3 linked regions of the Neodiprion lecontei genome follow. The protein of the gene in region 3 purifies or fractionates together with the protein of the main gene of each other region. This does not show direct contact. Links are inferred from orthologs where the notes say so. Each region holds a gene or a part of one and is shown on either strand. Other genes may lie near its edges.

Evidence for each region.
Region 1: the proteins of U3 small nucleolar ribonucleoprotein protein IMP3 (region 3) and U3 small nucleolar RNA-associated protein 25 homolog purify together in Homo sapiens (affinity purification with mass spectrometry; 3 studies listed by BioGRID and IntAct, with this or other methods). This does not show direct contact. The link is inferred for Neodiprion lecontei from reciprocal best matches to the Homo sapiens genes IMP3 and UTP25.
Region 2: the proteins of U3 small nucleolar ribonucleoprotein protein IMP3 (region 3) and U3 small nucleolar ribonucleoprotein protein MPP10 purify together in Homo sapiens (affinity purification with mass spectrometry; 4 studies listed by BioGRID and IntAct, with this or other methods). This does not show direct contact. The link is inferred for Neodiprion lecontei from reciprocal best matches to the Homo sapiens genes IMP3 and MPHOSPH10.

The regions. Positions count from the first base shown.
Region 1 is NC_060266.1:559,186-570,152, forward strand, and holds U3 small nucleolar RNA-associated protein 25 homolog, read right to left. Parts: upstream 7,188-10,967; 5' UTR 6,898-7,187; coding exon 4,594-6,897; 3' UTR 4,148-4,593; downstream 1-4,147. Other genes in the region: uncharacterized protein LOC107216915, read left to right, coding at 104-114, 303-449, 798-1,435, 1,817-2,061, 2,497-2,638, 2,786-2,963, 3,038-3,571, 3,690-3,837; WD repeat-containing protein 20, read left to right, coding at 7,860-8,129, 8,570-8,764, 9,383-10,864. UniProt on the Homo sapiens protein: Component of the ribosomal small subunit processome for the biogenesis of ribosomes, functions in pre-ribosomal RNA (pre-rRNA) processing. Essential for embryonic development in part through the regulation of p53 pathway.
Region 2 is NC_060262.1:22,089,354-22,100,968, reverse strand, and holds U3 small nucleolar ribonucleoprotein protein MPP10, read right to left. Parts: upstream 5,786-11,615; 5' UTR 5,629-5,785; coding exon 5,552-5,628; intron 5,135-5,551; coding exon 3,787-5,134; intron 3,669-3,786; coding exon 3,560-3,668; intron 3,474-3,559; coding exon 3,100-3,473; 3' UTR 2,489-3,099; downstream 1-2,488. Other genes in the region: aryl hydrocarbon receptor nuclear translocator homolog, read left to right, coding at 1-135, 202-510, 635-816, 900-1,047, 1,820-2,046. UniProt on the Homo sapiens protein: Component of the 60-80S U3 small nucleolar ribonucleoprotein (U3 snoRNP). Required for the early cleavages during pre-18S ribosomal RNA processing. Part of the small subunit (SSU) processome, first precursor of the small eukaryotic ribosomal subunit.
Region 3 is NC_060262.1:32,032,715-32,042,991, reverse strand, and holds U3 small nucleolar ribonucleoprotein protein IMP3, read right to left. Parts: upstream 4,572-10,277; 5' UTR 4,451-4,571; coding exon 4,314-4,450; intron 4,156-4,313; coding exon 3,841-4,155; exon of another isoform or gene 3,410-3,840; coding exon 3,337-3,409; exon of another isoform or gene 3,177-3,336; coding exon 3,153-3,176; 3' UTR 3,126-3,152; downstream 1-3,125. Other genes in the region: uncharacterized protein LOC124293362, read left to right, coding at 367-1,553, 1,670-3,125; parafibromin, read left to right, coding at 4,777-4,907, 5,898-7,171, 7,374-7,515, 8,112-8,148. UniProt on the Homo sapiens protein: Component of the 60-80S U3 small nucleolar ribonucleoprotein (U3 snoRNP). Required for the early cleavages during pre-18S ribosomal RNA processing. Part of the small subunit (SSU) processome, first precursor of the small eukaryotic ribosomal subunit.

The sequences.
Region 1 (10,967 bases), on a different chromosome or scaffold from region 3:
CTGTTCTGCTCGTAGCTGAGGAAAAAGAAGGATTCGTTGGAACACTCTTTCGGTTGTACAATCTGCAAGAATATTTTTTTAATCGTGTGCAGTTATCGTCAAAATGGACCCGAGGTGTGTAGTCGGTACCCAGATATTTGTTTGTTGAAAATATATTTTATAGTCAGTCTAGAATAGAATTGTAATGTAAACGTTGGTACGAAGAGTGCCAGGCTTGAATAATCTTAACGGTTGCCTCATGTGTGCATTAAATTGTAAAATATCGGAATAATCGCGATAAGTGAATCGTTTCTTTGTTACAGTCAGCCAGGGCCCATCCACATACTCAATCTTCCGCAGGAAGTACTCGTGAACATTTTTCTCTGTTTTAATGCCAGAGAACGTCTAGAAGTCGCGAGGACTTGCACAGTATTTAGACATATTATACACCGTGATCCGGACGTATTGAGGTCAGTCTACTGTAGTGTGCCTGTGACAAAATTAATTATTTGCGTTCGCAGTACCTCGTTTGTTCGTTTCTAAGAAAAAAGTAGTTACAACAAGATTCAGTAGGTACCTACTGCCGCATCTGGTGATAGAGGACCGGAATGGTGCTGAAACGTTTTCACAAGTTGGGAGAGTTGGCAGAGTTTGTGCGATTCTGATTATGTTTCTTATTTTTTTTAAATATTTAAATTTTTTTTTTTTTTTATGTGAAACCATTCACCTTTTACAACGCATGACCAAAACTTTGTGCAGTGATGGATCTCGTCCATTTTTCCCCATCCTAATTTCGACTCGAATTTCAATGTATACAGGAATTTGGATTTTACCCCAAATGGATGGGTGACACAATTAAAAGAAATCAAGACATATTTTGTCAGTGAATACAGGATGCCGCATATCCGTAAAGTGAATATAAGTAACGCAACGTGCATGAAGCCGGGAAGGATGTTGAACAGGACGGTTGGCAGGGCATTGAATCTTGTCGATGTTAATATACACGGAATTATATTCGAGAATGTTGGAATTTTGGCATCTTTTCTTGCGCCCCTGCTACAACTTAGAAGGCTGGTTGTGGATTGGCCCGAGCCGGATGAAGATGTTTACAGGACCATTGATGTTATAGGAGGACCGTTAGGCAGGCTCAATTATTTAGGAGTAAGATTGAGCGTTTATAACACGAATTTACTTCCTGCTGTGCGATGCAGCTGTAGTGAGCTAGTGGAGTTCCGTATAGTCGAACTGACACGACAGGAGCGTGACGACATACTAGATATTCCGTGGGCTGAGGAGCGCCCAAATAGACTGCAGAAGCTTAGAATTGTTCAAGCTCAGGGATGGAAAGCGTGTACCACAATGAAGAGTAATATTTTTCATATGATTCCGGATTTACATCAGTGGACAGATTTTCAAGCGATTGGTAGTGCTGTTGCATTCAAAGGATTCTATCTTGGTATGTTTTCATAAACATTATTTTTTTATTTTTATAACAATCAGTCTGAAGAAAAGGACTGTCATTGTCGCTTTTAGTGACCCCTTCCATGTCCAAATATTGATATATAATTTGACATTCACGGGAATGTTCTGATGATTCACAGTTTTTGCAAATAAGGCTTTTGTCAATCGAAGACTTTCAAATTTTACAATTTGTGTACTGGAAATTTTCAAGCAGGACGTGAATTTTTTACGATACATCAAATGTCACTCACAGACGCTACGTGCTGACTGGTGCTGACTCTAAAAAGATGATTGCATCTGGTTGGAAAGAAAGGAAGCATAATTCTTGAAATATCACAATCGACTCGCGAACATAAGTTTCAACTTGTGATTTCAGAAAAAAATGTCGAAATTTGTCCTGTACTAGTAAGAACGCGAATACCACACGAGGCTCCGTATCACCATTTTCCTGATGTTATTCCGATTGTATGGTCTGTGCTTTCGGAATCCTTGTTGGAACAAGTGATAAGAATGAACCACGAAGACGTGCCGTTGGAATTCTGTTGTTTACGAAGAACAGGCTTAGGTGCATCAGCAAACGCCAGTAACTGGCCATTCATATTGAACATTAAAGAGGCAAAGGTAGAATCGTATGACGGGACATTACGTGGATGTGCACCATAGGAACCACTCTGACAATCGACGTGTGTACGCATACCCCGGATTGCCTGTAATTAGGAGTCCTTATGTTGCGCATTCACGCAATGTCCCGGTACGTTAATAGTCGTAGTATTTATTCCCCGCTCAACAGTGATGTTTAATTTTTTTTTTTTTTTTTTTTACCTGAATAGCGGGATGAGAGTAGCCTATTATTCACTCTCAACTGTTCTCCCCCAATCTGCGGGAAATATGAGATCATAACAATTTTTCAGTTTTCTCTGCTTTTCTTCATCTCTCTTAATCTCCAACTTTATTCCCTTGTTACGTAACGTACAATTAGATACTTTAAAGACAAGCGAAAAATAAGTTACCAATTAAATCGAGTTACAACGTTAATTAATGTCATCGATGTTTCAGCGGCTGCTGAAAGATCCCGAGTATCCGATAACTTTTTTGTACTTGGACCATCAGATTGATCCGTATTGCGATGCGCATTTAGTGGTATCGGCATTCCCAAGCTTGACAGATCTTATTTTAATTCGAATGATAACAGCAAACGGTAAAATGGAATTTCATATTCATGAACCACGTACATGTGTTTGTGCTAACTGGATTTCCGCAATCGACGTTAAATCGCGGAGTTAGATCATCAATTCATCCAAGTAGCGATGATACATGTATATATTAAAACTCATTATGCTTGCAGAGATTAGAGAAGCAGAGCACAGAAGTAGGCTACCCTTGAGAAGATCTCTCATCAGGCGAGTTCCTGGCGTACCTTTCGGGTTTGTGGATGACCCGATGGGCAACACGGATGGTTCTTTTAAACTTCTAGTGGAAAACACTCCGCTACTTCGGGATTTAACGATTTATTATTCGAGAGTGTGAGAACCAATCTCCGATACCTTACGCGTGTCTAATACGGATTACGAATCGAACAATATTTACATTATTTCAGCCCCGAAGAGCCGGACCCCGACTTTTGGGACTTGAGTGCTCTGAACTACATTCCAGAATGGCGGCATCTCACAGCCTTACGTTTGGCCTTCGTACCCACCATAGATGGAATAATTTTTCTCAGTATCGGAAGACAATGTCCAAACCTGGAGATAGTAGTGTTAGTCGGTCTGGCACAAGCGAGCAACACCACAACCTACGTAACAAATCTTTCGATAATGCTAAGGCAGTGTAGTAAAATAAAGCAATTCTCACTCGAAGAAGAGGACGTAACCGAAGCGATGTACCCGGTTATGCCGGGTGAAGAACCTGATTCGTTTCAATCGCTTGAATTGTTCGACGCTCTTGCCTGCAATGTAAAGCTCGAAATGGTTCATGTATCGCTTTACGAAAGAGGAATAGAACTCTTCGATTTGGTCGTAGCGATGGAAAACCTATTGAAGGTTTGCACGAGGTTGAATATATTAAAGTATCTCAACGTTTATATAGGAAATAATCCATCCGATGCGAATTACGTGATCAATGAGTTATGCAGGTAAAAATAATAAGTTTGTCATTGTTTTTGTATCGTAGAATTATTGCTTCGTTTTTTTTAAATTTCATATCTTCGCTCGGTTTATCGGCGGATAAATATATATTTTTGTTTGTCGCAGAATAAGGAATGAAGTCAGGCGTCCGGAATTGCAGTTCGCAATAAATTATGGAGTTTGTTATGCGCGCCCAGACGCTGAACCTATCGTTGAACCAAGACTTCCGGACATTATTTTTGAAGAGTGCCCACGTATACTTACTAAATCTTGAAGATCACGTGTGGGGAAATCCCTAATTTATAACTAACTAATTTATTCCTTCAAAAATATACCACACACAATATATATTATATAATGTACTATAAGTATAATACTGTTTGTCTTATATTTTGTTCACAAACCCATAGGTATGTTCGATAAATTTTATTTTTAATCAATAAACATAATACTGCTGTTTCAGGTATTACCTAGATACATAATTTTCGGTACAATATTGCAAAATCGCAGGATTTCTAAAGATTTCGCATACTAAATAATTTCTCCTGATTGCTCTATACACATATCACTTGCCATTTTCTTACGCACGTGCTTTGAGCCCGCGCCACGTTTTTTTTTTTTATCCGCTACGTGAACCGATCGACTCCTTTTAGCAATTGGAAAGATCAAGACTCTCATTTTTCAATAAACACTGGAATGTAAAAAAATGTGGCTAAACCGGCACCGCAAATAATTCGAAGACCTAACAATAAGTCATCAAATCCCCTTTCTTCAGTCTAACAGGAGTATTATTATTTTCAGTGAATTTCTGGAATCAGATTAATCATTTATTTACTTTCGTTGGAGATTTCGGTTCAAATCTGGTGCTCGTCGACGTAAGCTAAAAATCAGTCACCCAGCTTTTTCATCGGATTTTATCGCCAACTGTGGAACGTTTATTACCAAATGTATACGTACTACATACATAATATGATTTTACAAATGCAGCAGGGACAATTTCGATACCGGACAAATACTTTTTCACTCGTCGTCAGTCGCCGGTCATAAACATGTGGACGTCTTGCCCCGAACTAATCATTTTCGTCGTCCTTTCGGTGCCGACGATACCTGCGAGCTTCAACGCGTCGTATTTCGAGTATACCAACGTTACGGTCATGTTGCTGTCCGAGCCTGCGTTCGGATTCTGATTCGCTTTCTGCATTAGGTTGCAAATTTCGCTGTAAAAGTGAGGGAACGTCGGCGGTGCGAAGAATATGAGGTGCCTTATACCCTTGAGGCGTATCCTACGGAAGAAATGGAATCGCTCGGAGTAAATGAGGAAATGCGCGTCGCTGTGGTAAAACATGTCCCTCGCCCTGGCCACCTTTGCATCCTTCGAATACTCGCAGATCTGAACGAAGCTGAGCTCCTCTTTCTTGAAGTAGTTGCGAACTTTCACGAAGTCAAAATAGGACGGCACGTAGATAACGGTGTGATTCATTATGCTGTCCTTGTACTGGGGGAGAATCTTCGAGACGAAGAAAGTGAACCTGGCCTCTATGTCGTGGCCGTGGTCTCGGGAATCGAACCTGTGAAACACCTGGGGCACTTGAATCACCGTTTGGCAAACGGTCCCGGAAGTCACCGGGTTCACGACCCTCGCTTTTCCCGCGTAGTTGAAGCACCGCTTGTTGAATATCGCGTGTATCTCGGGTAACGGAACGCCGGAGAATATCAGCGTCTGCCGATAGAACTTGGACCAGCCGTTCACCACCCAGCTGCGAACGCGAGAGAAATCCGTCCCGTGGGATTCCTTTGGCTGCAGATGTGCGTGGTCGAGGACGTGCAGCAGGTGGTCCCAATTCTGCATCGCGAACACCTCCGTCTGGTCCATCACGAGCAACTCCACGGAAGCAAGGAAATCGTAATCTCTGTCGGGTTCGCCCTCGGCGCCGACGAGCATTCGGAGTCCCAGGACGGACGAAATGATTATGTCGGACGAGTAAAAGTCCGAATAGAGTTTCAACGTTTTCTTCGTCACGGATATGCCGATTTTAAAGGTATCGTCGACGTTTCCTTCGAACGTTTGCTCGTAATCTTCGGGCTTGGGATTTTTCCTCGGCATAGCGAGTTCGTTGCCACTGAAATCCTCCATGAATCGAAGTTTGTTCACCACGGACCCACCCTTGTCTTCCCCGATTAAAATCGCGATCAGTAGCCGAACGATTTTTAAACACGAGTGCCTGAAAGGGACTATTATAAGAACCTTCGGCCTGACCAAACCCTGATCCCGATATTCATCCGGTGTATCCGCTATCCCTGACTTCTTGGCTTTTGTCAGTTTCGCATTGTGATGCAAGACCTTGGTTCTGGTTTTTAAAACGTGATTAACCGCGTGCAAGCAATAAAGAAATCTAATTTGTTCGCCATTGGCGAAATTTCGCTCGTTGTAGCACAGATCTTGATAATTGTTAATTATGGTGAACAATTCTTTTTGCAACGGGGTTAAGGGACTAGGCTTAGACGCCAGACTGTCTTTAATATTATCGTAGTTTGCCTTGGAGATATTGCCTTGAATTTGTGACTTGATGAATAACTTGTCCCAGTCAACGTCGTCTATGACTTGCGGAACAGCTCCGTGTCTGGCAAATTGCTTGTCTTCCAATATCGAGACCTTGGGTCGTTTTCTAACAGGCTTAGAAAACTCATCCTCAACCTCTGGGATTTGAAACACAACGGTTCCGAGAGCGGGCCACTTCGATCTACTGGTGGCAGCCTTCTGAGGAGTTAGGGAAACGGATTTGTACAAGTCGTCGTCCAAATCGTTGAGCAGATGAATTGAAAACGGATCTCTGAGCTTCCCAGCATCTTCGCGCGCAGTCTCTTGATCCTCTTCCTCTTCCTCCCTCAAATTTATCTCGACATGTTCAGCGTCGCTAGCCTCGGAAGTGACGTGATCTACGCCCGAGTTTTTCGTCTTGAAAAGATTTTCTTCTTCGACGGAAGATTTCACCTCGGCTTCGTCGTCAGGCTCGGATTCAGACTCTGACTCACAATCGGAGTCAATGACAGGTTGCCTCTTAGTTTCAGCACCACCGATAGCTGAAAGCAACATTTTTAACGGATCCTCTCGTTCCTCTTCCGAACTCTCAGCCTCAAGTTCCAACTGTTTGCTCCTCTCCGCCTCTAATTTTCGCCTCCTATTTTCAATCTCTTCGTTCTTGGCATCACGTTCCTTGACATACGAGGCTTCCCTGATATTGAATTTACATTTTTTCACCTTAGGCTTATGCTCGAAACGTTTATCAAATTTTCGTCGATTCCCTCCGCGAGTCGGTTTTTTCCCACGAACCATTGTCAACCGTCCCACTTTCAATATCGCCAGCAATAATTCAATTCAAATGAACACGGCCTATCGACAACCAAAAACTGAACGCTTGCATTGGCAAGCACATGGTTTTCAGGTTAGGTTCCGTTGAGACAGCAGCACTGCGAACGAGGCGGCGGAGAAGGTTGGCACCAATGGATACCAAACATAGCAGACGACAAAGAGCGGGGAGCGTCGCCTTATTTGAAAACGAAATTGACACAGCGTATACGTTGCGGCATCTCCTCGAATGCACAGCGATCTCCGCGAAGCGAGGAAAGATTCGAGAATTTCACGGAGAATGATCCTTGTAAAAGTTATTGACGGAGCTGGTCTTGTCGATTGATGAATCGGACGAAACAGTTTTTTCCGAGCAGCTGCGATATTCCTGTCGACTAGGATGCGGCCAGAAGGAGGTGGTCGGTCATTACGAAACGGGCGAGTGGTACGATCAGTATCGTTCGAGCGACAGCGGCTGCTCGTTGACGCGACGAGGGACGGTTAAACGGTCGTCAACATGTGTGACAGGAAGAAGGAAGGAGCGATTAAATCAATTAGTAATTCAACCATCTGTTGAGAAAATATCCGGTTGCAGAGCGATATTATGTAGGATTGCCCGGTGTTGGCAGAGTGTCGGTCGGCTGGGGTGTGCGCGCGCACCAACAACACTGGAGCGAGCCGCGACGATCAGCTCGCAGACAATTTCGCTGCGGGTTCGGATCTTGTACTCGGGACTCGGCGATTCCGCGATATTGCATGGTGGTGGTGGTGATGGTGATGGTGGTGGTGGTGGTGTTGTTAAGAAAACAGTAACCACACTCTCGTCGTCGTTCGATCGAAGAGCCGGGATTGGTATAATCGCGGATCAATCGACGGTTAACTAAAATAGGAAAGGAAACACCCATTTCCTCGATTCTCATGAACTCCACCGTCGTTTCTCTAGTGGTAAGATGGCGGTGCAGCTCGATGGAGGGGGGAAGGACGACTTGAAAACACAATTTGTCACGCGAGAAGGAACGTACAAACTGATGACCCTCTCGGAGTACTCCCGACCTAACAGGGTGGGCTACACCAACAGCCAGGGCAGCGCCTCGGTCAGGGTGTCCTTCGTCACATTGCCCGATCCAGCCGATCCCACGGGAGCCCAGGGCCTCGGCGACCGCATGTGCTTCAACTTTGGCAAAGAATTATACGTATACGTTTACCGTGGCGTCAAGAAGGTACCTCCTCTTCTGCCACCTCGTTAAACCTGCCCTATTATCCCTGCGACTCTTTCGGCGCTAACTTAACGATACATAACCTCAAACAGCCCCCCTCCCCCCTCCGCCTCGTCGTTCCGACTCCATCTTCGCAACCACCACCACCACAACTCTCCAACCTCGTCATATTCTTCGCATTTCTACTTCACTTCGACTTTATCTATGTTACATTTACATTTACGTTCACTTTTAGTTCATCCTATGCTTTGTTGGCCTGTGTTATGCTGGTGAAAAAATTGATCAATGATAACACTAATAGAAACATGCAAACTTTTGTCAGGTTTCCTAATCTTGGCACACAGCTACGATTGCTTGGTTCTGAAATACAAATTCATTTTATAAGAGCTTAGGAACCGTTTTCTGAATAATTCTCATTCAAAATCTATCTCAAAGTATAATAGCAACTGTTTCAGGCTGTGGATCTCAACAAACCTGTTGACAAAAAGCTCTACAAAGGAACAAATCCAACCTGCCATAACTTCAACCAAACTACAGCCACTGCAGACAGCGCGCCACTGCTCGTCGGATTTTCCACAGGACAGATTCAGCTCATAGATCCAATTAAAAAGGAGCTTAGCAAACTTTACAATGAAGAGGTATGCATAACAGATCAATTCAAATCAAAAGCAAAAATCCATCCTATCCTGATGAGCAATATTCATTTCAATAACTGGGCAGCCAAAGCTAGGCACATTCTACGAGTAAAGGCTAGCTAAGGGCTCTTTGTCAGGCTTATTGCTGATTGCTGAATGACTGAGATACAGCACCGTTATTTTGCCGGCACGTGATAACCAGGCAATTAGCAACAGACACGTAATATGCTATCTGTCGCGACAAGTGAGAGTTTTTTTTGCTTTATTATCTGCCACAGATGGCTCCGCGTAACCCTACATCATTCAAGGTTGGCAGTACTGTTGTAACGCAACTATAACTTGATGAAATAATTAAACAGGCATTACATACTGTGTTATGCAATACTCCGCTTATCTCTCCGATCACTGACAATGCGCCAAGATACTAAGATCTCTGCGTATATTAAAGCTGTAATCTATTCGTATTTATTAGCTATGTTGTTATTCTCTACCAGTTGTAAAACCCTTTGACGAATAGATATGGCAAGGACTCGAGTTATTTAATTTACTGGGAAGATGTTGACATTAGTTGAAAGATAAACGCGACAAAGAATAATCAGCAACTGATGTTTGTAATTTCAGAGGCTAATCGACAAGAGTAAAGTGACCTGCATCAAATGGGTTCCGGGATCGAGCAATCTATTCCTGGTTTCGCATAGCTCTGGCCAACTGTACCTGTACAACGAAGAGCTGCTTTGTGGAACGACACCGCCTCATTATCAGCCGTTCAAATCAGGGGATGGCTATGCGATTCACACATGCAAAACAAAGTCCACAAGAAACCCCCTGTACCGATGGGTGATCGGCGCTGAGGGATGCTGTATAAATGAATTTGCATTCAGTCCCTGTGGCTCTAATTTGGCTGTGGTATCCCAGGATGGCTTCCTACGAGTTTTTCACTACGATACGATGGAACTAGTGGGATCGGCGAGGAGCTACTTTGGAGGATTCTTGTGCGTCTGTTGGTCACCGGATGGACGATACGTCGTAGTAGGAGGAGAAGATGATCTGGTGACGATATGGAGCTTCAATGAGAAAAGAGTCGTGGCCAGGGGCCAGGGTCATCACAGTTGGGTCAGTGTGGTCGCGTTCGATCCCTACACAACGTCCTACGGGGATCACGATCCAGATTTCAGTGGTTCCGACGACGAATCCATGCCTCACACTAATCACAATAATCACTTTCATGAGAAGCCCAACAGATTGTCGACAGTCTCCCAAGGTATTCATTCCAATAGAAATTCGTGCGGGTCGGAGCTAAGGGTGTCCGGAGGAACCTGCTACAGGCTGGGAAGTGTCTCCCAGGACACTCAACTCTGTCTATGGGATATAACCGAAGACGTTCTTCGGCCGCCAGTCAGTGCCAAGCAAAGGACGTCGACCGCAGGTTCGGGGACATTTTCGTCATCGGGAACATTTACAAGCGGGAATGGAGCAACGTCCAATCATAATTCCAACAATGCCAAGCATAACAATTTGAATAATATAGGTTTTAAAGAGAGCGCGAGTGGTAACAATGAAAGTAGTAATAATAGTATTAGCACCAATGCGGCAGTGTCTACCGTGAATTCATTGACTCAAAGGCTGGCGGGCTTGGGTTTCGGGGAGAGGAAAGGTGACAATCACAAAAGAAACTTTAGCCTAACGATGAGAGGAAGTGGAACGAGCAACAACGCGATACAAAATAATAGTGGGGAGAAATCTGGTAGTAACTCAAATTCTAGTAATTCAAACAGTGTTGGCGGGGGTCTAGGTACGAATAAAAAGTCCGGCGGTACGATGGACGATCCTATGAGATTGATAGGGACCGCCTGGTGTCCACGTTTCGACGAGTGCCCTGTTCTAGAACCATTGGTGTGCAAGAAACTGGCCCACGAGAGGCTGACTGAATTAGTGTTTAGAGAAGATTGTTTCGTGACAGCATGTCAGGACGGGTATGTCTACACGTGGGCGAGACCTGGCCACATGGTAGGTCCTCTGACGATAAGCAGCACCCTCCACAGGCCCCATCACCACACCAATCCTCATACCAACGCCAATTCTAATCGACCAAATGATCTCTGATGTAACCCATCTTTTATTGTTATTAAAACTCTATCGAATCGAGTTTATTAACTAATTATTAATCAATTAATTTGTATATACTAGAGATAGCTCAGGTCCGTAA
Region 2 (11,615 bases), about 9.9 Mb from region 3:
AAGGAAAATTCACTTTTGTCGATCAGAGGGTCGGTGGAATCCTGGGATACACGCCATCTGAGCTCCTCGGACATCCCTGCTACGATTTTTTTCACCCTGAAGACCTGACGCACATGAGGGAAAGCTTTGAGCAAGGTAAATAAAACTTAGGAAAAAAATGGTCGAAACTTTTTGTTGACCGTGTTTTTTCTTATATCACAGTACTGAAACTAAAGGGCCAAGTTATGTCGGTGATGTATCGATTTCGGGCGAAAAATCGGGACTGGGTTTGGCTCAGAACGTCCGCCTTTGCGTTTCTCAACCCTTACACGGATGAAGTCGAGTACATAGTCTGCACGAACACAACGGCCAAATCCTTGCACCCTGGTGGTGAGGGACAAACCGAAGGAGAGAATGTCTCTGGTTATGGACAACCTAGTCTTGACTACAGCGTCCACAGACATCCTGCCAGAGAGGCTATTTACCCAGCCCATCAAATGATGCAGCATCCTGCGACAGTTGCTACTGCAGGTATGGTATCTTATAACTTGATTTTCCACCTGTCATGAAATTCTTTGTCAAGTGCCGCAAAACCTGAATGTCGCCAAACGAATTTTGACCAAGTTATCACTTCATCTCGGTCACCTACTTACAGGACCCCAACAAGCAAGACCATCCAGTGCTCAAAACGTTTACCAGGGATATGAAACGACCCAGTCACCAATAGCCTATGGATCCCCCGGTCAGCAGAGCACCTCCTCCTCGGTTCTAAATCGTATACCAAAACCGGCAAACACATCGCCGACTCCCGTTCAGCAAGCCTGGACACTCAGACAGGTAAATATCAACGGTGCAATTATTGTTCCGCATCAGGTCCTGTCAGGAATTGTCTCATTCAATGCCACCCTATTCTTTTATAGCAACAACCTGTCACCGAAGGCTACCAGTATAACCACCAGTTAAGTCCGTCGAGATCTCCAAGTGGTCCAACTTATACTCAGCTTAGTAGTGGAGCTCGAACACCTGCGGCGTCTTACCACGCGGTTACAACAGTTCCGAACAATCCGGGTAAGTCAACGTGTGGTAGGGTTAATGATTAAATTTATTCGATTAACAGGGCTTATACCAGTAGGTGCCTAAAAAAGTGAGTGAATTCTAAGAATTTATATCTTGACAATCAATCATTCAATTCGATTGGGGATCGTTTTATTCAAGAGTATGCAGGTTGAGCTTCATTTAAATACAATTTTTATTAGAATCAATTATTAGGAACTATTGTTATTGACAATAACGTCAACTCTTTCGCTCATTGACACCTTTTGTGGTCCTCACGATAGCTCAAAAATGGCTCAACCAATTTACTTCAACTTGGAGCTGACATTCTTGGACAGTTTATTCTTTTCGCCACAATCCTATTTCTTTCTATCATCATATTATTATGTTAACTAAACTTAAAAAGAGTGGTAAATTTTTTTTTGTGAAAAATTATATTCCAACTTTAAACGTTTCTTGTTCCGTTGAGAACAAAAAATTTTGGATTCCGGAAGAGAAGATAAACTCGCCGCGAAAACTCTCCAAATTTGAGGTACCAAAACTACCACTGAGCGAAATGTTTGAATTTAGTATCAATAACAATGCTTTCTGTTAATAGATCATAATTAAAAAAAAGACCTCAATGAATCTCGATCTACATACTTTTAAATTACATAAACCATGATCAAATTGAAAATCGATAGCAGAAATTTGAATTCTCGAAATTCCCCCGCTTTTTGAGCCGTTTACTCGTATACGTAGGTATACCCCCCCAGCAATTGATTTTTTTATTTGATCATCATTTTAGGCATGTGGGGCTGGCAAGGCCAGCAGCATCAAGGGCCGCATCAAGCACAGCAGGACGGTGGACAGGCGGGTGCACCGGTCGCTAATCAAGGCCAGGGTCCTCACCCCTCGCAAGGAGGTCCAGGAGCGCAGCCTCAGGAGTTATCGGACATGTTACAGATGTTACAGGACCAAGGCGGAGCCCCTGGTTTTGAGGAGCTCAATATGTTCAATACTAATTTCGAGTAGGAAGGGGGGCAGGGGAAATCTTGGTGGTAGAAAAATAACTAATTAATATAACTATTATTGATATTGTATTTTTCCACCTTCGATATTAATCCCTTTTATTGATATTTTTACTCAGCCCTTACCATCCTTCCTGATCTTAATACTTTCAATTTAGAAAAGAAACAAAGTAAATAAAATTTAACAAAATTAAGCGAAGTCAAATAAGGATAGTTAATACGCAGAATTTCCAATTTCTACTTGGAATGGTATTTTAAATATATTTAATTATGTACATTTTATGATCAACTTTGAATCATTGATCGATCCATGTTCCATATACTTATTTGCCAGTGTTCTGGAGAAATTCATTGCAAAAGTGGAAAACTATTTAAAATGAAGAGGAAAAAAATGAAAACTACAAGGAGTTGACAAAAAAAATATTGAAATATTTTTCAAACTTTTCAGAATAGTTACGAATAAGAAATTAAAACTTTTCGACTGCAAGCTTTCATCGTAGATATATATGATAAGGAGTAGCTTAATGAAATTGTTTTTTCATATATTTGTAAACCGTGCAATTACTATAATGTTTTTGATGACAGATATTAGACAAAGACACGACCGTGACAATGTACAAAATTATATAACTCACTCGAAGCTGCTTGTTATTTACAAAATGATGTCATTAATGGATATCAATTTTCTAAGTAATATTTTTTCTTAGATATTAGTAATAACATAGCACATAATTAAATAATTGTAATTATAATAAGACTATCACTTGTGAATTGTTGCATTTGTATATGTTTAGCAATATTTTAGATTGAAAGCAAGAGAGAGATTGAGAAATAACAAAAAAAAGTTTTAAAAAACAAAAAAAAAACCATAGCATATCATAATCGTGAGAAAACGGAAACACTTTTTCACTAATATATGGGGAATACTATACGGAGAAAACTCGTGTTTTAAATTTCATTTATTAATAATAATAATGATGAATACCTCTAATTGTAACTAACGTACTTTAAAAAAATAGTAGAAGAGGAAATTGTTTTAATTATCGACTATACAAGTTCAGAGTTTTAATTTCACCGCGGATAATGCCTTCTTGTCTTTCTTCTTCCGCACATTGCCGTCTTTCGATTTTATATGAAAATTGACTTGATCCTGAAGCTGATCAAAGAATGCTGTGGAAGACTTTGCCGTCTTTCCACTCGTTTCATCTATCTTTGAAATATTACGCTCCTTACTCAAACTGTCAATCATCTTTGCTGCTTTTTCCTTACTGTACTTATTTCCAAGACCAGGTTTCAATTTCCCAACAATCTTTTCCCGCTTTTCTTTAGCTTTCTCTCTGTCTCGTTGATTCAACTTCTTTTGACGCCTTTCACGTTTCATGTCCGTCTCAGTTCTCTCGGCTCTGCCGATCAGGTCGCCACGCGATTTTGCTGTAATGAAACGGAATTGAATAATTTGTAATAGCGAACTTTTTCTGTATTCAGATAGATACTGATTGCTGTATTATATGGTTTACCTTTTATTTCTTCTGGTGCCAATAAAGTTGCATCACTTGTGGCTATCGGAGCTACTTCCTCCATCGTTACAGCAGGAAGGTTGCTAACGATTTTGACGTCAGGCCTGGCCTAAAATAAAATGCGAAAACCATTATCGATACATTATGAATTTGTGAATTCTAATCTGTCTCATTTCGGATCTAACTAGAATTAACAGATGCTGCATCAAGAGAAACTGATGGCTTACCAATTTTGGAGTGTAATGAAAATTGGAAAGAGCGTCAAGTTTGCTGAACAAAGAATGCATCATATTACGAATTTCAATGTGTTCTTTAGGTTCCTCAGTTTCTCGTTCCTCGTTGTCAGGGTTCAACGCTTCCTTTTGTTTCAAGTATTCATTTTCATAAATCTGTGCCAGACTAAGTTTGCTCTTCTCCTGGTCTAACACCAGCTTTTTTTTATATTCCATTGGGGTTTCAACAGGTTTAAATTTCTTCTCAACATCGTCCCAAGCTTTGTCTTTTATTCTCTGCTTTATTATATCCTCTAACTTCAATGTTGTTTCTTCAGTGATCACAGGAGCTGGTCTGGAAGTTATGTCAAACTCAACGTGCTCCTGCAGCAGTGAATCCTGTGGCCTAGATGCAGCATCAACTTCACCCTTTAATTGCCAAGGTTTTTCTGAAATTGCTGCTTCTTCCAATTCCTCTATTTTTCTTCGCAGTCTTTCTTGACGTGTTTCTAGGCTGGATTTTATCTCTGTAGTTCCTTCCTTTTTAGATTCATCTTCCTCTGAACTACTTGAAGCCGATTGATCATTGACACTGAATTTAACGCGTTTCTTATGAGGTTCTGTTGTTTCTTCTTCATCTACAGATAGGTTGGTATCGTTCTCAGATTCTTCATTAAAATGATTGCTCTCAGTCTCAGAGTTTGATTCATCGTTGCTCTGTGGTTGATCAAAGAAATCTTTAAACTTTACTAGTCTTGGGTCAGTTTCGTTGTCTTCGCTTCCATTATCAGAAACATATTCAAATAAGTCGACAGACTCCTCATCGGCATCATCACTGTCTTCTTCATTCGACTTCCCTTTTTGCATTTCTCTTTTATCTTCTTTCGTGAGGTACTCATCCAATTCTTGGAGTTTGAAGAATTTATCATCTACTATCGAGGGCGGTGTTTTTCTTTTGGCCACTCTTTTCGATTTCTTCTTCCTCATCTGCTTCCCCAGTCCTTCTATGTCTAAATTACTTAAGTCGCCGTCACTTAGGTCTGAATCGTAGGAAGATACCTGTTCGCCATCCAAAGATTGATCGAGGCCTGATTTATCATTGCTTTGTTGTTCATCACTCCTCGTTAGCTTGACAGGTAGTTTCAGTCTCTTACCCGCAATCAACGATCTAGAGACTCCTGTCAGAATATGAGGCAATTCTCCTTCATTCTGGAGTTCTAGCTGTTGCCATATTTGCTCAGTATCAAAACCCTCTGTGATTAGCTCTGGCAACGCCTCCGTCATGCGACCAGATTCTTCCTTAGTAAAATCATAAAGGGATTTTATCGTGTGACGGAATTCCAACGATGCACCTGCCTGTATGCTACAAAGATGAAAATTATCGGTGTTAATTGAGCCGAACAATGAAAGGTAATCACTGGCTGCATAAATTATTTGATAAAAATCGTAAGATGAAGATTTTCTTTCTAAATGAATATATTTTACATCTACTTCAATTTCATGGGACTGAAGTTAGTAATGGATAAGTAACGCAACGTTAAAAGAAAAATCGTTTTACAACTTTAAAATGAGTTTGAAAAGTTTCAGATTATAAAATCTGAGTATGCCGACGGTGTTTCAGTGTTCACTGAATTTCAAACAAACCGGGTTTTGCTAGAAGTAGAAGTACAACTTGAAAATAACGTTGAGAACTGCAGCCTCATTCAATTTTAACGTACTCCAGTCGAAATAATTATTGGACCTGTAAAACTACGGTTGTTGGAAATGAATTAGAATTAACCTCAAATAATTTTCAGTTTTCTTGGTGTTTGCTTCTACGACGTTGATGATGTCGTGGAAAACCCTCGAGCTCTTCATGATCGGTGAATAATTCTATACAATAGATAACTTAAACTGCAATAGTTTTTGAATTAAAAGACATTGTCACAACCATGTGGCATTCGAACTACGATTCGAACCTTTAAGAATGCTAGCCACATGCATTCACACTATGCATACTATGGGCATTGGTCAGGACAGGGGACGAATCACAGACTTTATACGTTGACTGAAGATATACAAAGACTGATAACCCTGGGTTATTTTTCGTAACAGTTTGTCGGGTCTGGCCGGTTTGGAGGTATTAGCAGATTCCCGTATTATCAACCAAGCAACTGAACACGCCCATAAACGAAGTTCATAACCAACAACAATCGTGTGCAAAACATTGATAACATACCGTTGACATGGTGAAATTGCAAAGTTGAGAAAATCCCGTTCAAGACATATGTGTGCCGAAATTATACAACGGAAAAATAAATGTCAATCAAGGACATGAACGTGTATCATTTATATTTACATGAATACATCAAATCTTTTGCGGGCGACAGTATCATCTCTAAGACGCTCAATTCATTTTTTCAAAGTTTTTTACGTAGTATTTTGGAAGAATATTGAAATGCTCTATTTTTAGTTCCAACCATTTGAAGAATGTTTCTATAAAGAATTTTTGTTTGCTTTGATGAGCACTTTTAAGATTACGATTTGAAGAAATTCGATATCTCAAGTTTTGAAAATATCCGAAAAATTCTGAAACACTTTTTTCTTTGCTAGAAGCACGTTGAAGATATGTAGAAGAATGAGCCTATTTTATGAGTTTTTCCCAAAATTTGTAAACGATAATTGGGTTTTAATTAAGAAAAATTCCGCAAGTTCTTGAATAAATATAAAAATTAATAATGGAAATGAATCTATCATGAGATTCATTGCAAATTAAGTGGAATGAAGAATAAAATATTTGCGGATTTATTTTAAATTCTGATGAGGTTTTAAAATTGTCTTTCAGTCATACACCTTTTTAGAAATGTGACGAAACAAAAAATTTATTTTATCTTCTGTATAATATTGACTTATCAAACCATATTTTTTTTCTCAATTGTTGAAATGCTAAATATTGATTATTGTCAATTCGTAGTTCTTTGAAGCGCTAAAAAAATTGGGAATATCTCTTTCTTTCAGAGCAAATTTTGAAATGTTCTGAATGCCATAAATAACATTATTGAAATATCAACGGTTGTTTTTCAATAAGTGGTTTTCAAGGGTAATGATCCGATGACTTTCAAATCATTAAATCCTGTTACCAACGCAACATTATTCGTAAAGTCAATTTTTATCCTGTCGGCTATACGTACTGCCGTTATCAAAAGATACTCATACTTATAATCTACTGCTATTCCGCATCAAAGGAAGTTGAAGCACGTATAGTTAAACCTTGCACCACTGCACATTTATTTCATTTTAAGAAGTGAGAATTGACTATATAATTGTTACGTTTCCAAAAGGTGGAGTTAAAAATGTTGAAAAGGTTGATCAAAGAGATACTTGATTTGTAGCCACCTACAATGAAGAGAGTACCGAAACCGGTAATCGATGGTAGTATAGCTAGAAGATAACTCGAAAATTTCCTTGCGCGTATTTATAATTGAACATGCAGATAACTTTGTCCCAAACCATAATCATCCTTGTCAATGGAAAATATTTTTTTGGAATATTTAGAGTTAGAAAGTGCGCGACGTGGATTTTTATTATTATATGTATAGGGGTATCAGCCTAAAACTCGAATTGAATTATGAATTCATTTGTTTATTTATTTATTGATAAATTTATATCTTTTACGGGATAAAATTCATTTTTACATAGAAAATACAGATTAGCGTTGATAGGCAAGCCAGTATCTACTTGTATGAAGAAGTAAAGTATCAATTCTGAATTGTTTTTTATTTCTTGATTCATAAAATTAGATTTGTGATTATTTTTTTGTACTCCAAGAAATTGAAGTGGGAATTATTTTTTATTTCTTAATTCGAAAAATTATACTGGGAATTTGTTTTCACTCTCGTGATTCGAAACGATGAATAAAGAATCAGTTCTTTATTTCGATAATTGGAATAATTTAATTGAGAATTAATTCATCTTCTTCAATGAGCAAATTCGTATTATTGCAATTACTTTCAATTTCTCAATTCAAAAACTCGAATTGAGAATTTTTGTGAAAAATTTAATTTTAGTAGCGTAATTAAAAATGAGTGCTGTCAATTGTGATTTTTAGTTTGAAACTAAAATATGTCCGACACTGCTACATTGTATTACATAATTGTGTGGAAAAATGTGCATGCGGCGGGTTGCAAGCCGGTGTGTTTACCGGTCCAAGGATAGTGAGTGGGGTGAGATTGCGATCGAGCGTCTGTGCTGCTGGGCGTCCTAAGAAAAGGAGACTCGCGTAAATACTACGCAAAGGACGCCGCTTCACGATGTGTTTATCTCGTTCATTTTTGATTACGAAAAGTCCCATAAGACTATCAGTCTTTACATATCTTCAGTCAACGCCGTAAGTGGTCGGAGAAGTGATACTTCGCCTGACGGCGCACGTTACGGCAGTCTTGTAAACATTAGATCGCGTTGCGCGTAGCTTGCGTGGTGTTTACACCCGGCCGTGAGACTATGGATATATAAAATAGAGCGTAAGCAACGGCGTGAGCGTCCCGTGAACAGATTTGAATCGATTCTCTAAAGGATAGAAGATAATAATTCTCCCCCCCTCTCTGTCGCTCTTCCGTGATCGTCGTGCGCGGGTTGGGGAACGGGAGAGGAAAAACAGCTAGGTGGCGGGTGCAACTACCCCCACTCCACGGGAAGATCAGGAGAGAGGGCGGGAGCGCCGAGCAGAATCAGTCGTCTCCGAGCAATCGAACTGAGATCATCCGTCCTCGGCATCAGTTCAACATTCCGACCGGTGGTTCAAGTGCATTTCCAACATACTTGTCTGTGAACAATACACGAGGAGCCGTGTATAACCTAACAAAAAACCGAGTTACTAAAGTAAAAACATCCTGCGAACATTGAAGGTGAATTTTGTGTCCCGAGTTTTCATTGTTTGTTGTGTAACTTCAGATTTTAGTGATGTGTGTTTTGTCTCTGTGCGTCGTGTGTCAATTTTAATATTTTTATGGCTTATTTTCGGCAAATGCGCTATTGCATTGTTAGCAAGATTATTCACTCGGTTCAAACAGACAGCTGTAGCACAAAAACTGAGTGTAGAATCCGAGTGTTATTGCGGTGCGGACTTTTGAACTATAAGAGACTAGTGAAGATGTGAATGATGTGAAAAGTGCGTCGCTTCACCGATAAACCTGAGATGCTGCAACTACTGCATGTGAAAGTGTGGAACAGCCCACAGTCGAGGTAACAATACTTATTTTAATTATTGATTGATAGTTCACGGTGGTCATTTAAAGCCGAACGAATTCGTAAATATGAAACAAGACATCAGTAATAATTAATTTGAAAACTGAAAAGCCAATTTCCTAAATTAATTCAAGTGTCGTGTTTTGTTTTTCACAGATTTAAGCAGAGACTTCCGAGTAACTTTTCCATTTCTCGGCAACGTTGGTGAGTTTGCATGTGTTAGGTTACGGGTATTTCCCTGGGATTCCTTTGTCACGTGGCGTGGCGGTAACAATTGTCACACAAATCTTCGATTTCTTAGCTACATGGATAGGCTCATTCACAATCGCAACGTGCTTGACTTTCAGTGGAATCATCATTTCTCGCAATGCAATTTAGCGTAGCTTACTTCAAATTAGAAATTTTACACGTTGCTAAAAGTGGAATGAGCATCGCGACAGGCAACCATCGCTTACTCGGCACTCGCGAGATCGAATTGTGTTTCGTAACTGATGTAATAATCTACGTTTGAATTTACCGATGATGCCGTTTAAGTGGTGGGTTCACCTGAGGTTTCAAAAGTATTCAATTATCCACATTATTGTTAAATTTCAAAATCAATTTGCATCTTATATATCATTTTCAATCTTTTAACAGCCAACAAGTATTGATCAACTGCAGGCTTAGCTCGCTTAGAAAAATGCTAATTAGAATTCAGGATGTTTTAATCAATTTTACCAAAGGTTAATGTACCGATAGTCTGCCAACATTTACTAAAATAACAAATGCAATATTAGAGTTGGCGGGATACAACCGCGATACTGTATTCTGAGTAGGCAGACTACGATACAAAAACATTTTGCTCCCAACAGGTAACCAATGAAAATGTAAGTCAGTGACCACGGCGCAAATGATGAAGAATGATGTGTGTTGGAAAAAATGGAGAATCGTTTAGGTCGAATATAGGTAACCGGGTAGGTAGGTGGACGTTTTGGGATCCGTCGCGGGGTTTATGCATGAGTGTGTGAATCTCTCTTTTCCGTTGGGTGGGTTCGTTGGGAAACAGGCGAGGTTAGGAAGGTCGCGATGTACCGTGATGCTACTAACTTTTGTAATCCACAGCGTCAAACGATCACAGACATTTTCCCAAAAGACTCCACATTCGAGTCTGTCGACCATTTGTAAACATTTGAGTATTAACGAGATTAAATTTCCCACTTCTTGTCACTTTGCAACGATTTTTCAATCGTTATCCAATTCGATTATTTAGTCATCACCGATCGTTATTCCATTCGATTAATCTCTGTGATCGTCTGAATGGGCAAAACGCATCTCTGGACCATTTATCGCGTTCCGTGGTACGCTAGATGGGGAGAGATGCTGAGCTCGAAGACTTCGCGTCGAAGAGGACCGCCGACCGTCACGCCACACAATAATGCATGCCCTCCAACCTCCCTCCCAATTTCAATTTGATTTGTAATCTGAGAACAACAATCCGCATAGCAATGTATCTGGTATCTAAAAGATGCAGATGCGGATTGGGTTTCTACAGAATTTTTGGGACAAGTCCCAGAAAATACAAATTTTTTTACAGTTTAATCTGTCGCGCCTTATTGCGTGTAGATTAATCACGAGAATTGAACGCAGCTTCATGCGCGTAAATTAAGAACGAGAATTCGACGCAGCTTCATGCGCTTAAATTGATAACAAGAATTTGACGCAGCTTCATGCGCGTAAATTAATAATTGAAATTGGGCACGTTTTTTTGCACGTCGATTTTGCAAACAGTATATAAAAAGTTGCGCACTCTCGACGTGCTGATGTTTCAGTTCTTCAGGCAACTTTTTAACGAATAATAAGATTTTCAAGTTCAACGACGCCTTTTGCGCGTGGACTTGATACCTTTCAGTTATGAGAGAAACCGCGGCATTTGAAATCCGGCGCTCAACGCGTAGGAACAAAAATCTCGGTAGTGTATACTGATAGTGAAAAATCGTAGCGTAAATATTTATGAAATATATCTGAAACGTACAGAAATACTCGTTTAACTGATCGTATTATTTTCTGTTTCAGGGCAACAAAACCGATTTCTTAACAAATGCACTGAGACCCATAAAATGTTTCCAAAAAGATATTCACTTTAATAACTCAAAGCAGAAAAGGATGTTGATTCAAAAAATTTAGAATGTTTTGTATTCGTCGATACAATTGATAAACGACGCAATGAATGTTAAAGCGAATATCATGTTGGTTCTTACCCATTTTTTGTCAGTGTATGAACTTATGTGACGGTGCTAACCATACCTTCGTCTGTTTCAGCTAATAAAACCTTTGTCCCTTTCAGCTAATCAAACCTCTTGCCTGTTTCAGCTAAACAAATTATATGTTTGTTTCAACCAATTATTTTGCCTCGTTTTTCGTTAATTATATTTTTCACTTACCTCAGCTCAGTATATTTTTGTCTGTATCGACATATGTCACTAATTGTATTTTTATCTTTTCCAGGTAACTGAGTTCTGTTGACTGTATTGAAAAATTAACGTTTCATTCTTGAGGCTTAGGTCTGGTTTAGGTCTGGTTCAGGGTCAATCATCTGTTTTCATCGATACACAGATTTAGCAATGTGGTTCAGAATCATCATG
Region 3 (10,277 bases):
CTGATACCCTTCATCAAAGGCAACCATTCTCCAGAGATTATAAAATGTAACGAAAATGTCAGTAATGCTCTTACTTTGAGGCAGTCAAAAAACAAATGTCTTGATGACTGGAATAACGATAAAGTAAACACAGAAAATTCACAACAGTTTTCTGTGCTACTTCAAACTGACTTTGAAAAATTAGAAGACATAAAACAAGGAGAGATGGGTATGGACCTTGAACAAACGTACAGGACAAGTAAAAGCATTTCGTTTGAAAGTAGTGATATTTTCTTAGAACAATTAACACCATCACAAAATCTGAATGTACAAGATACTCCCACAGAAGATAGCAGTTCTACATTTAATCAAAGTACAATTGAAGAAATGTATTTCATGGATTCTAATGATAATATTAACTGCTCAAGCACTAATGAAAAATTCCAAATATTGCCTCAGCACGAGACTAATGGAAATGATTCACTCCAATGCACACTCAATGACAAAATGATAAGAGATACAAGCACTACAGAAAAGTTGGTTGATTTGAATCTCCAACAACTTGCCAACTCAACTACTCAACCGATTCACGAAGAATCAAAAAAGAACAATATCACTGTTAACAGAGACTCAGGCAGCATCGTTGCCACGATTGATTCAAAAACTGGATATAATGAGATGCAAAGTTCATCCACCGATACTACACTAAAATCCGACGCACATTTGTCTGTCATACAGTTGAAGGTTATGCGGAACGAAGAAGAAACGACAGTGAAGGCCATCAATCTTGTTAATCCTATCGATGATCCAGGGAAAAGTTCTGAATCGCTAAGGGATCAACAGCTCGGAAATGAAAAGGGTTTGGAAATTTCAAGTAACTCCTTCTTAGAACTTTCGATAGAATCACAGATGGATACCATACGAGAAAAAGACACACTTAGAAAGAAAGAAATCGTTCCTATTCATATAAATAATAGTATCACGAGTTTCACAACTTCACAGAATTTGAGTGTGGAAAATGTAGAAACAAGAAACAGGCAACTAGCTGTTTTAAATACAGTTAATATTAATGCTGATGGAGAAACAATAAATTTACCAGATAATGTGAATACAGAATTTATGATTAGGGAAAAGTTGAATAGGGTTGAAAAGGAAGATGAAAGGACATTAGAAAAGAGGATGCTTTCCAACTTGACCAACAATCTCTTTCCAAATGTTGATTCGCCAAAAGATGAGAATATTGGGAATACAAACCGTCAGACATCTCCAGGCGATTTTAGTTTGGATATGCTGTCTGAGTCACAACTGCAAACAATTGAAACAGAAGCTTATGTAAAAGCAGAAAAAATAGATGTCCAATTAAAGAAAGCAACAACCGAAGGCGGTGTAAACAAACAGAATATATTCTTCAAACCTGAACAGACAGGTATTATTACTACGGATAAGAACGATCTGGTACTGCCCAATTGGGTGACAAATCGTGCTCCTGAGCCAGACTATGATAAAATGAGATGTGCCTTTCAGAACAGACGACAGTACGTGAAAATACTACTTCAGGAAATACTCAGACTTAGGTGCGCAGCATATTTTAGTTTTCCTACATATCATGCAGACAAAGATCGATAGTTCAATAAATTACGTTGTCACATTGATCATGATTGTAAACTCATCGCATCATTATCATTTTCAGTACGATAGTTTCCAAGGTAGGGGCTGTGCTTCGTGCAGAGCATGCAGAAAACAACTTGAAGCCACATGTGGACAGTGTTGATGAAGCAACTATTTGTGAGACTCTTAGTAATACTAAAACCAATGTTCAGACTTCTAATAATGCAGTGAAAGACCTTAAAAATAAGAACATATTTTACGTACCGCCGTCGAATATGCCATTTCCAAATATCCCTCAAGATTTTCCTAACAACATAAATAATCCGCCTAATAGTACTGGAGCTTCCATGAACACGGTAACACTTGAAAATAGTGTATACACTGATATAACAACAGATCTTAAACGTGAAAAATTTTATGTACCTACGACAAATAAATCGAAGTACGATACCCTTCCAGCTGTGAATCAACAAATGGATACAAAGTTTAAGGATGGTCAAATTACTGAAGCATTTGTGCGTCACAATGCCTCGAATATGTTTGGCTCCCTGAAGCAAATTTCGAATAATCATAAAACTTATAAACCAGATGTCAGGAGTATATGGCACTCCTCTGGCCAAGAAAGTGGTTCCATTCCGGAAATATCGTTCAGCAGAAACAAGGTTCCGAAAAACAATCAAACAGTTCGACAACAAATTGCTGCAGGATATGAAATGCCACAGTCAAATTTAAATGCTTCAATTTTTAGCAATAATATGGTAGCCAAAAATGTTGAAGAAGGAAAAAGTAACATATGTGACTTGGATCATTCAAAACTGGCTAATAAAAACACAATTTTTTACGTACCCGATGAAGGGTCATCAGTGTCAGGTGATTACGTTGGATTAGGCAGTATAAAAAATGATCCAAGTCGCTCTTATAAGTTTTCAATGCCATCGAAATCGCAAACTAGATCAAATGAAAATTCAAAACTATTGGTCAATGATATATTAGCCATGAACACACAAAAAGCACAATCTAACAGAAAAAATCTAGAAAATTTGCAGCTCACTGTTAAAAACGACATTTTTTATTCACCTGATGAATCATCAGTGTCAAACAATACATTATTTACAAGTAAATTCGCAGAATCAAGTGGTACAAAAAGCGACCAAAATTTTTTTTATTATGCAAACTTTCCAATGCCTTCTTCATCCCATCCAAGACCAGATCAACACCTTATGTGTAATGTGGTAATCTCAAACAAGTTGAAGAGAAAAAGTAACATTCATGATGCGAACAATGCAAAGCGTGCTCGTGAAAATACCACTTTTTATTCGCCGGAGAAATTGTCAATACCGTCAAAAGATTTATTCTCAACAAGTGATTACATGGAAATACGCGATACAACAAATCCGAGCATTTCTTCACGTAATTGTTCACTGCCTTCATCCCACGTGAAACTAGGGAGACCACTACGACTGTTGAATAATACTGCAGTTTTTTACAACGGTAATAAAGATCAGGAAACTGGTTTCAGAAAACTATATCGCCATTGATTGTTCTGCGGCATTTCATCAGAATGTTCATATACCCTCAAAGTCATCTTTCTGAAACAGTACAGCACATGCAATTGATTAGATAAATGATTGTCACAAATTGTAACGAAATATGTTGAAAAATGTTGTGTATTAGAACATTTTCTTAGATTTTGCAACACAAAGTGTAACAAACGACATATTATTACTTGCTCCAGAACATGACACCTACCATTTCATTGTATTCCAATACATGTTTCCTTATTGCTGAAGTATCAACCCATGTCACAAAGTCTTCCAAGTTTCTGGAAATCGAAAATTATTACGATTAGCATTTTAGGGATGTCAATTTCAGATAGTTAGCAAAATTTAAAAATTGGTAGATACTTGTACCAGTTAATTTTATTTGGTCTTATTATTTACAGATTAAAACTAAATTTACTGTTTAATATCAAACTGAATAATTACTTTACGTCTCTCAAATGTCATATAGAATAAGGATTATTGTCTAGTTCTAAGATCTTTAATGTGAACCAGGAAAAACTGTAAAGTATTCACAGAAATATCTTTCAAGTTACTCTGGTAAGTTATAACTGATATAGAATATGTATTATTTATTAACTCTACCGTCAACTACCCTAAGTAAATTAGAAAAGTATATCATTATATTTTTAAAAATAATGCCAATTTGTTTTGATTAAATTAGGATATTAATGATTTAAAAAAAAGTATATACCTTGTTACAAGAAATGCTGGGTCCTTAATGACTTCAGGTCCAACTCGTACATGAGCTTGTTCGATTAGCTTTGTCGCCATTTTAATGGTTTCACTCATTTTATTACGAACCATAACGACAGGTAATCTTCTTCTACAAAAACAGCTGGCTGTAACTTTCTCGCACAGAGATAAATCCCACTTAGTGGAAATGAGACCCATCATATACAATTTCTCCAGCAACATGGCACTTTGTTCTATTCTGAATGGATGTTCAGCATCTACTTCCTTGATCTTTCTAGCCAGTTCTCGAATTTGTCGTGATAATTTGTTGTATCTGAAATAAAGTAGTTGTTATACGTACACATAAGTTAAAAATTAGAAACATAACGAACAGTTTTAAGGAAACAGTAGCTTAGGTGATGTCAATATCTCTGAGAGAAATGTATCGAATATTTCGATCATGTGGAGGTTATACTGAAAATGACAACTCACTTCGTATAATCTTCTCTTTTTTGGATTCGGTATTTTTTCAAAATTTTAATCTCGTGCAAGTTATTGTCTACCTCCCAAGAAATAAAGTCTACTTTTTTCAGTAACTTCTTCTCGTGATGTTTCAATTTTCGAACCATCTTTCGAATTCAAAAATGTCACGACTTACACGAACACGTGTGTTTTGTCGACACGCGAGTCTGGTTTTCAGCGGAAAGCAATGGGTGCGTTCGACTTGGGCGCTTACGGCTTCAGGCTTCAGCACATATATAAATATACATATAAATGCTATAGGATATGGCGCTCACAGCGCTCAATGCAGAGTGCTCAATGTGGCTCAAAGCGACCCAGTCGAACGTACCCAAAGTCGGCCTGTACAACCTCAGTACTCTCTGCTCAGTAGAAGCGTGCGTGGACGGTGGTGGACGGTGGGAACTGCGGAACGAAACCGTCACGGTAAACAACCATGGCGGATCCGTTGAGTTTGCTTCGCCAATTCAACGTAAATAAAAAGGAAATTATTGAACGTGAAAACCAAATTATATTTGGTGAATTCTCATGGCCAAAAAATGTCAAGACAAACTATTTGACATACGGGTAAGGATCTCATCCAAAAAATCTCATTATATTTCTTATACTACTTTCCAATCTGGGCAAACTACAACCAAAAATCAGGCTCGTCGTTTTGCTTTTTTTGGCACAAAGATTATTTAAGTTTTCATATTGCATTCATGTGTAGCTGACTGAAATCAGTGTTATACAATCCTTATTCTTCACCGATATTTTAAGAACTGGTTACTTCAGTGGCGGATGAAATTCAACGCGGGCCATTTCTCAACAAATTTGTACACGTATAATAAGGTGAAGTCTTTTCGTGTGATGCAAACACGCTCTGATACATTGAGTAAATGTAGCAAACAAACGCAGTAAAGTTTACGTGCTTCCTCCTATTTATTATGAAGATTTTCTTTTTGTACATCGACGTAGCTGTCGCTGTATTTTGGAATTTACGAACGAATCAAATGTGAAATTTCTACGGAGATACGATAAGATTTTCTGCTGTTCACAAATTTCAAACTTGATTTCTACTAGCATTCAGATATCATACATTGTTGATGAATGTTCAAGTGTAATCCACGATGTGAAAAAAGAGGTATCATTATACCTTCTCACATACTTTTTCTCCAGCGAATCGCAAAATAAACAAAACATGTTTATTAAATTTATTATTGCATAATCATAGATTTGAACACTATGAAATGTAAAATGAAGCTGTAAACAATTACCTACATTTATAATTATCCAAAACAATTGCGCAATGTTTATATCTCGATTTCACTCGCATCAAACGAGTCAGCGAGACATGAAACTTCAGTGACATAACGAAACGCAAATAAGAAATATAAGATAATAGCTTGATCGTTGTCAAAATGTGAAATGTCATGAATTTAATTTTTTTTATATTACAAAGTGGTAAGATTTCAATTGCATGTTAGTTTTTGGGTTTGTCTACGAATCGACATATATTTTGTAGTCCTTGTAATTGTTTGGTTGTGAAATTTTCAGTTTTCTGCTTACATTTTGCAGATCCGGAAAGGAAGGCACACCTAAGGAGTACTATACTCTTGAATGCCTTTTGTTTTTATTGAAACATGTTCAACTCACGCATCCAGTGTATGTGCGGCAAGCCGCCGCAGAGAATATACCTGTGGTGCGCCGTCCGGACAGAAAAGATCTGCTGGCTTACCTTAATGGTGAAACAGCCACCTCAGCCTCCATAGATAAATCAGCTCCATTGGAAATACCAACACAAGTAAAACGAACTGCCGAAGATGGGCTAGATGCGGGACTTTCTAAGAAGCCACGTTTTGAAGAGACACATGTTCAGAAGGTGAAGGAACAATTGGCAGCGCGACTGGATGCGCCAAAAGAAGCTTCTGTCACAGTCGACAATATCAAATCTCTTTCAGAGGCAATGTCTGTTGAGAAAATTGCTGCAATCAAAGCTAAACGTTTGGCAAAAAAGCGTACTACAATCAAGGAAAATGACGACATTGGTATGGGTTCGGATTTGCGTGTTATACTAGACATGGATGTCGATGATACTAAGGACATCGTATCTAGAGAAAGACAGTGGAGAACTAGAGCAACGATACTTCAAAGTGCAGGTAAAATGTTTGCCAAGAACATATTTGCCATACTTCAAAGTATCAAAGCCAGAGAAGAAGGCAGGATGCAAAAAGGGCCTGCAATACCCGCACCAATGGTTACGCCAAGGTCTACACCTATGCGCCCATTGCCACAACCAGCAGTTTACAATCGTTATGACCAGGAAAGATTTATTCGTCAAAAAGAAGAAACTGAGGGATTTAAAATCGACACAATGGGGACTTATCATGGTATGACGCTAAAATCTGTGACTGAAGGTACCAATCCCGCAATAAGAAAGCCCACAGTCAATCCTGCTGCTACACCAAGCTCCGGATTACTTCCTGCATCTGCTGCAAAACTGACTCCACAACAAGCAGCTCAGAATAAAAGACCAAGTAGAACACCCATAATAATTATACCCAGTGCAACTACATCTCTTATAACGATGTACAATGCCAAAGAAGTATTGCAAGAATTGAAGTATGTTAGCAACGAGGAAAAGCGAGCACAAGGTGGTAAAAGGGAGAATGAGATTCTTCTTCAGCGAAGAAAAGATGGTGGTCTCACTGTTCCTTATAGAGTTGTTGATAATCCCCAAAAGTTGACAAATGCAGACTGGGAGAGAGTCGTTGCGGTGTTTGTTATGGGTCCTGCATGGCAGTTCAAAGGTTGGCCTTACGACGGAAATCCTGTCGAGATATTTTCAAAAAGTAAGACAATTCAATATATCTACATTACTGGTCAATGTCACTTGGATACGTGACAGATCCTGTAGTTTTATTCTGTAATTAAGTTTTTGTCACCCAAACTTTTTTTCATTTGGTGGTTGGAGAATTCAAATAGTTTTTATATTATTGCTTTTCATAAAAATGCCTGATCAAGTTTTATATGTTTTTACTAATATGATTTCAGTTTGTGCCTTTCATTTGAAATACGATGAAATGAAGCTAGATGCAAATGTTGCCAAGTGGGCAGTAACTGTTGTGGAACTGAGTCGCACCAAGAGGCATTTAGATAGAGCAGCATTGATGGTCTTCTGGGAGCAATTGGACAAGTAAGATCAATTTATGTACAAAATAGCGAAGTTCATAACTTTTTGCGATTAAAGAATATCAATAATTCCGACGGTTATTGTTTTTTTTTTTTTTTTTTTATTTGCCTAATTTTTCTGTAAGGAAAAAAGCTGTCTTAGCATTCAGATCATTTTTACATTTATTTGAAATATGTTACAGCATGTGTGTTGTCAAACTTCCGTGTTCTTCCAAAGTTTTATTATTATTACTATTATTATTATTAATCCTATTCTATTGTCAAATATCAGCCAGCAATTTTCTCTAAAGTTGTATGTATGAGGACCAGTTTTACCAACTTTGTTTAAACATCGAACTTCACTTGCATAGTGGTTTAATTGACTTGACAGTTGAGCAGTGTAGTTTAGTAATAGATAATAGTTTGGAGGAATGAACGGATTAGAAAAGGCATAGAGCAGCTAACTTTTTTTCACCAACTTTTTGTATACCAAGAGAGAACTAGAAGTAGATCAAATTCCGAGCGTAAGATTTCTGGTCTCCAATAGGTAAAAAGACCTCTAAGCTGTTGACTTTCTAATTTATGATATACGGTGTCATAATGGTTTTATTTCTGTTTCAGGCATATGATCAAGAATAAACCACATCTGCGATTTTAATAACTGAACATGAATCGTGCTCTAAGCAGCTTGTAATATATAGATGACACAATCATCCACACAGCATACGCATGCACGTATATTAAGTTTGTATATCATGACTAATACGGTTTATAATCGTTAAAAAAAAGAGAATAGCATTATCAAGTGTAAATATTGGTATAAAAATGAATAAAATGAGTACATGAATATTATGTGGAAATATAGATTGAAAAAATGGAAATATTATATGTTTATAAATAGTACGGTTGTGTATAACGATAAATATTCAGTTATTTGCAGTGGTGATGATTTTTTTTATTCGGAAAAATTTTCTTTTCCATGATAAAACGTGAATGTTTTCATACTTCCGAATGGTTAGTTTCCGGCTAAGCATGTGGTGTGAGGTCTCAGCCCGTGGTCTCAATATGTCTGCCATTTTTTCCTCCTATCCCCCTCCGGCCAGCCGCTGTGTTTTCGTTTACGCGTGGCTTACGCCTATGTATGTTATGTAGGTACGTATCTACATGCCTACTTTACAAGATTTATTGGATCGCAGTCTGCCTTCGGAGGAAGATCGTGGTGCGTGATTACGGGATTTGTGCGGCGAAGAAATCAATCTGTTCAACGGAAATCAAAGATCGCGTGGGTGCTGTAACGTAATATAGGAGTGTTTATCCTGTAGTTGAGTAACAAGTCCGTTGAAGCGTGAAGTTTCAATTCCTTGAAAATATGTCAGGCCAGTAGTGAATCATTTCTGCCGTTCCAGTCAACGTATTTTATCAATCCAGCCGTCGTCAGTTGCAGCGAGACAGGTGAACCACCGTACTTTAATCATTTCTTTATTTCTCCTTCGTCATGACCAGTGGAACGATTCTTGACACGACAGCGAGCCGAGTAACAACCCGAGGTCTTACATCTGTATATATTGAGTGTGCTGCGTAAAGGATTAGACCGAATCTGTAGGTTAGAAAATCCTTCGTCGCACGATCTGTCAGAGCTGCCTCGTTCTCTTTATATGTTATACTAATCGGTCGGTATATACATTTGATTTTTCTATAACGTGTAAAATTGTGACCGGTGATCCTGCGCGGGTTCAACGATATTTGCATGAATATATTTGCGGTGAGATTGCTTGATTCTTCGCTTAGTGATGTAGTGCCGGGATTCGTAGCTGTGAAAATTACCGTATAAATTAATCCACGTACAGGGTGTTGCAACTTGGACCGTTAACGATTATCGCAATTATTATCCCAAGTTTAAACATACACTTTGAAACAGTTTAATTGCTGTTACCGTGGGTCATTGTACCACCCTCTCTTAACGCGCCAGCCCCTCCCCTCCTCCTCCCACGAGTTGTACCCTGTGCATACCTATAGGTATGATATTTATACACACAGAGCATGTACGGTATACCTATATCTACGTGTAGTTCAGATCTTATCGTTATATCTCCCTCTTTTTTCAATGGTGTTGTCGGGTTTTGGCTGATATTAGTCACGCTTTTAGCATGTTTTGCATACTGATTTGCAATTACAGTGTACCCTTTGTACACAGATTACCTATTATGCAGTTATACATCATTGCAGTACTTACGTGTGCGTACAATATGTATGCTCAGAGTCATAAAGTTTTAAAGCTATGGGATTAGCTCTGGAATTTGAGGGTGGTAACAGATATAGTTTAACCACTTACCTATGATACTATGGTGTTACCACTTTTTTTGAATTATTTACTCTCCTAACACACTTTATATTGATGGCTAAAAATAATCCAGTGTTGTAATCGTAGTTGCCTAAAGTTCATTCCCCTTTTGCTTTTCAACTCTTGCTTACCTGTTCACCAATGTAACACAATACTTTAAACTTTTATTTCTCCGTTATTCAGTCCTGCTTATATATAATCACTCCATCCTTTGTGTGTCGACGCGGCTTCGCTCTTTATTTATTAATATTTTTATCCGTGAAAATATAGAAAACATATACAGGTAAGAAAAATGTTGCAAATTAAACCATCAGCTATTTCTTATACAAGTAAAGTTTTCAATTCACAATGCAAAGTAACTCGAGGCTATATATTGTCTTGATATATATCGTACTGCTTTATTTGGATACAAATTATTGCAGCAAAAAAACTGCTTGGTATCAAGT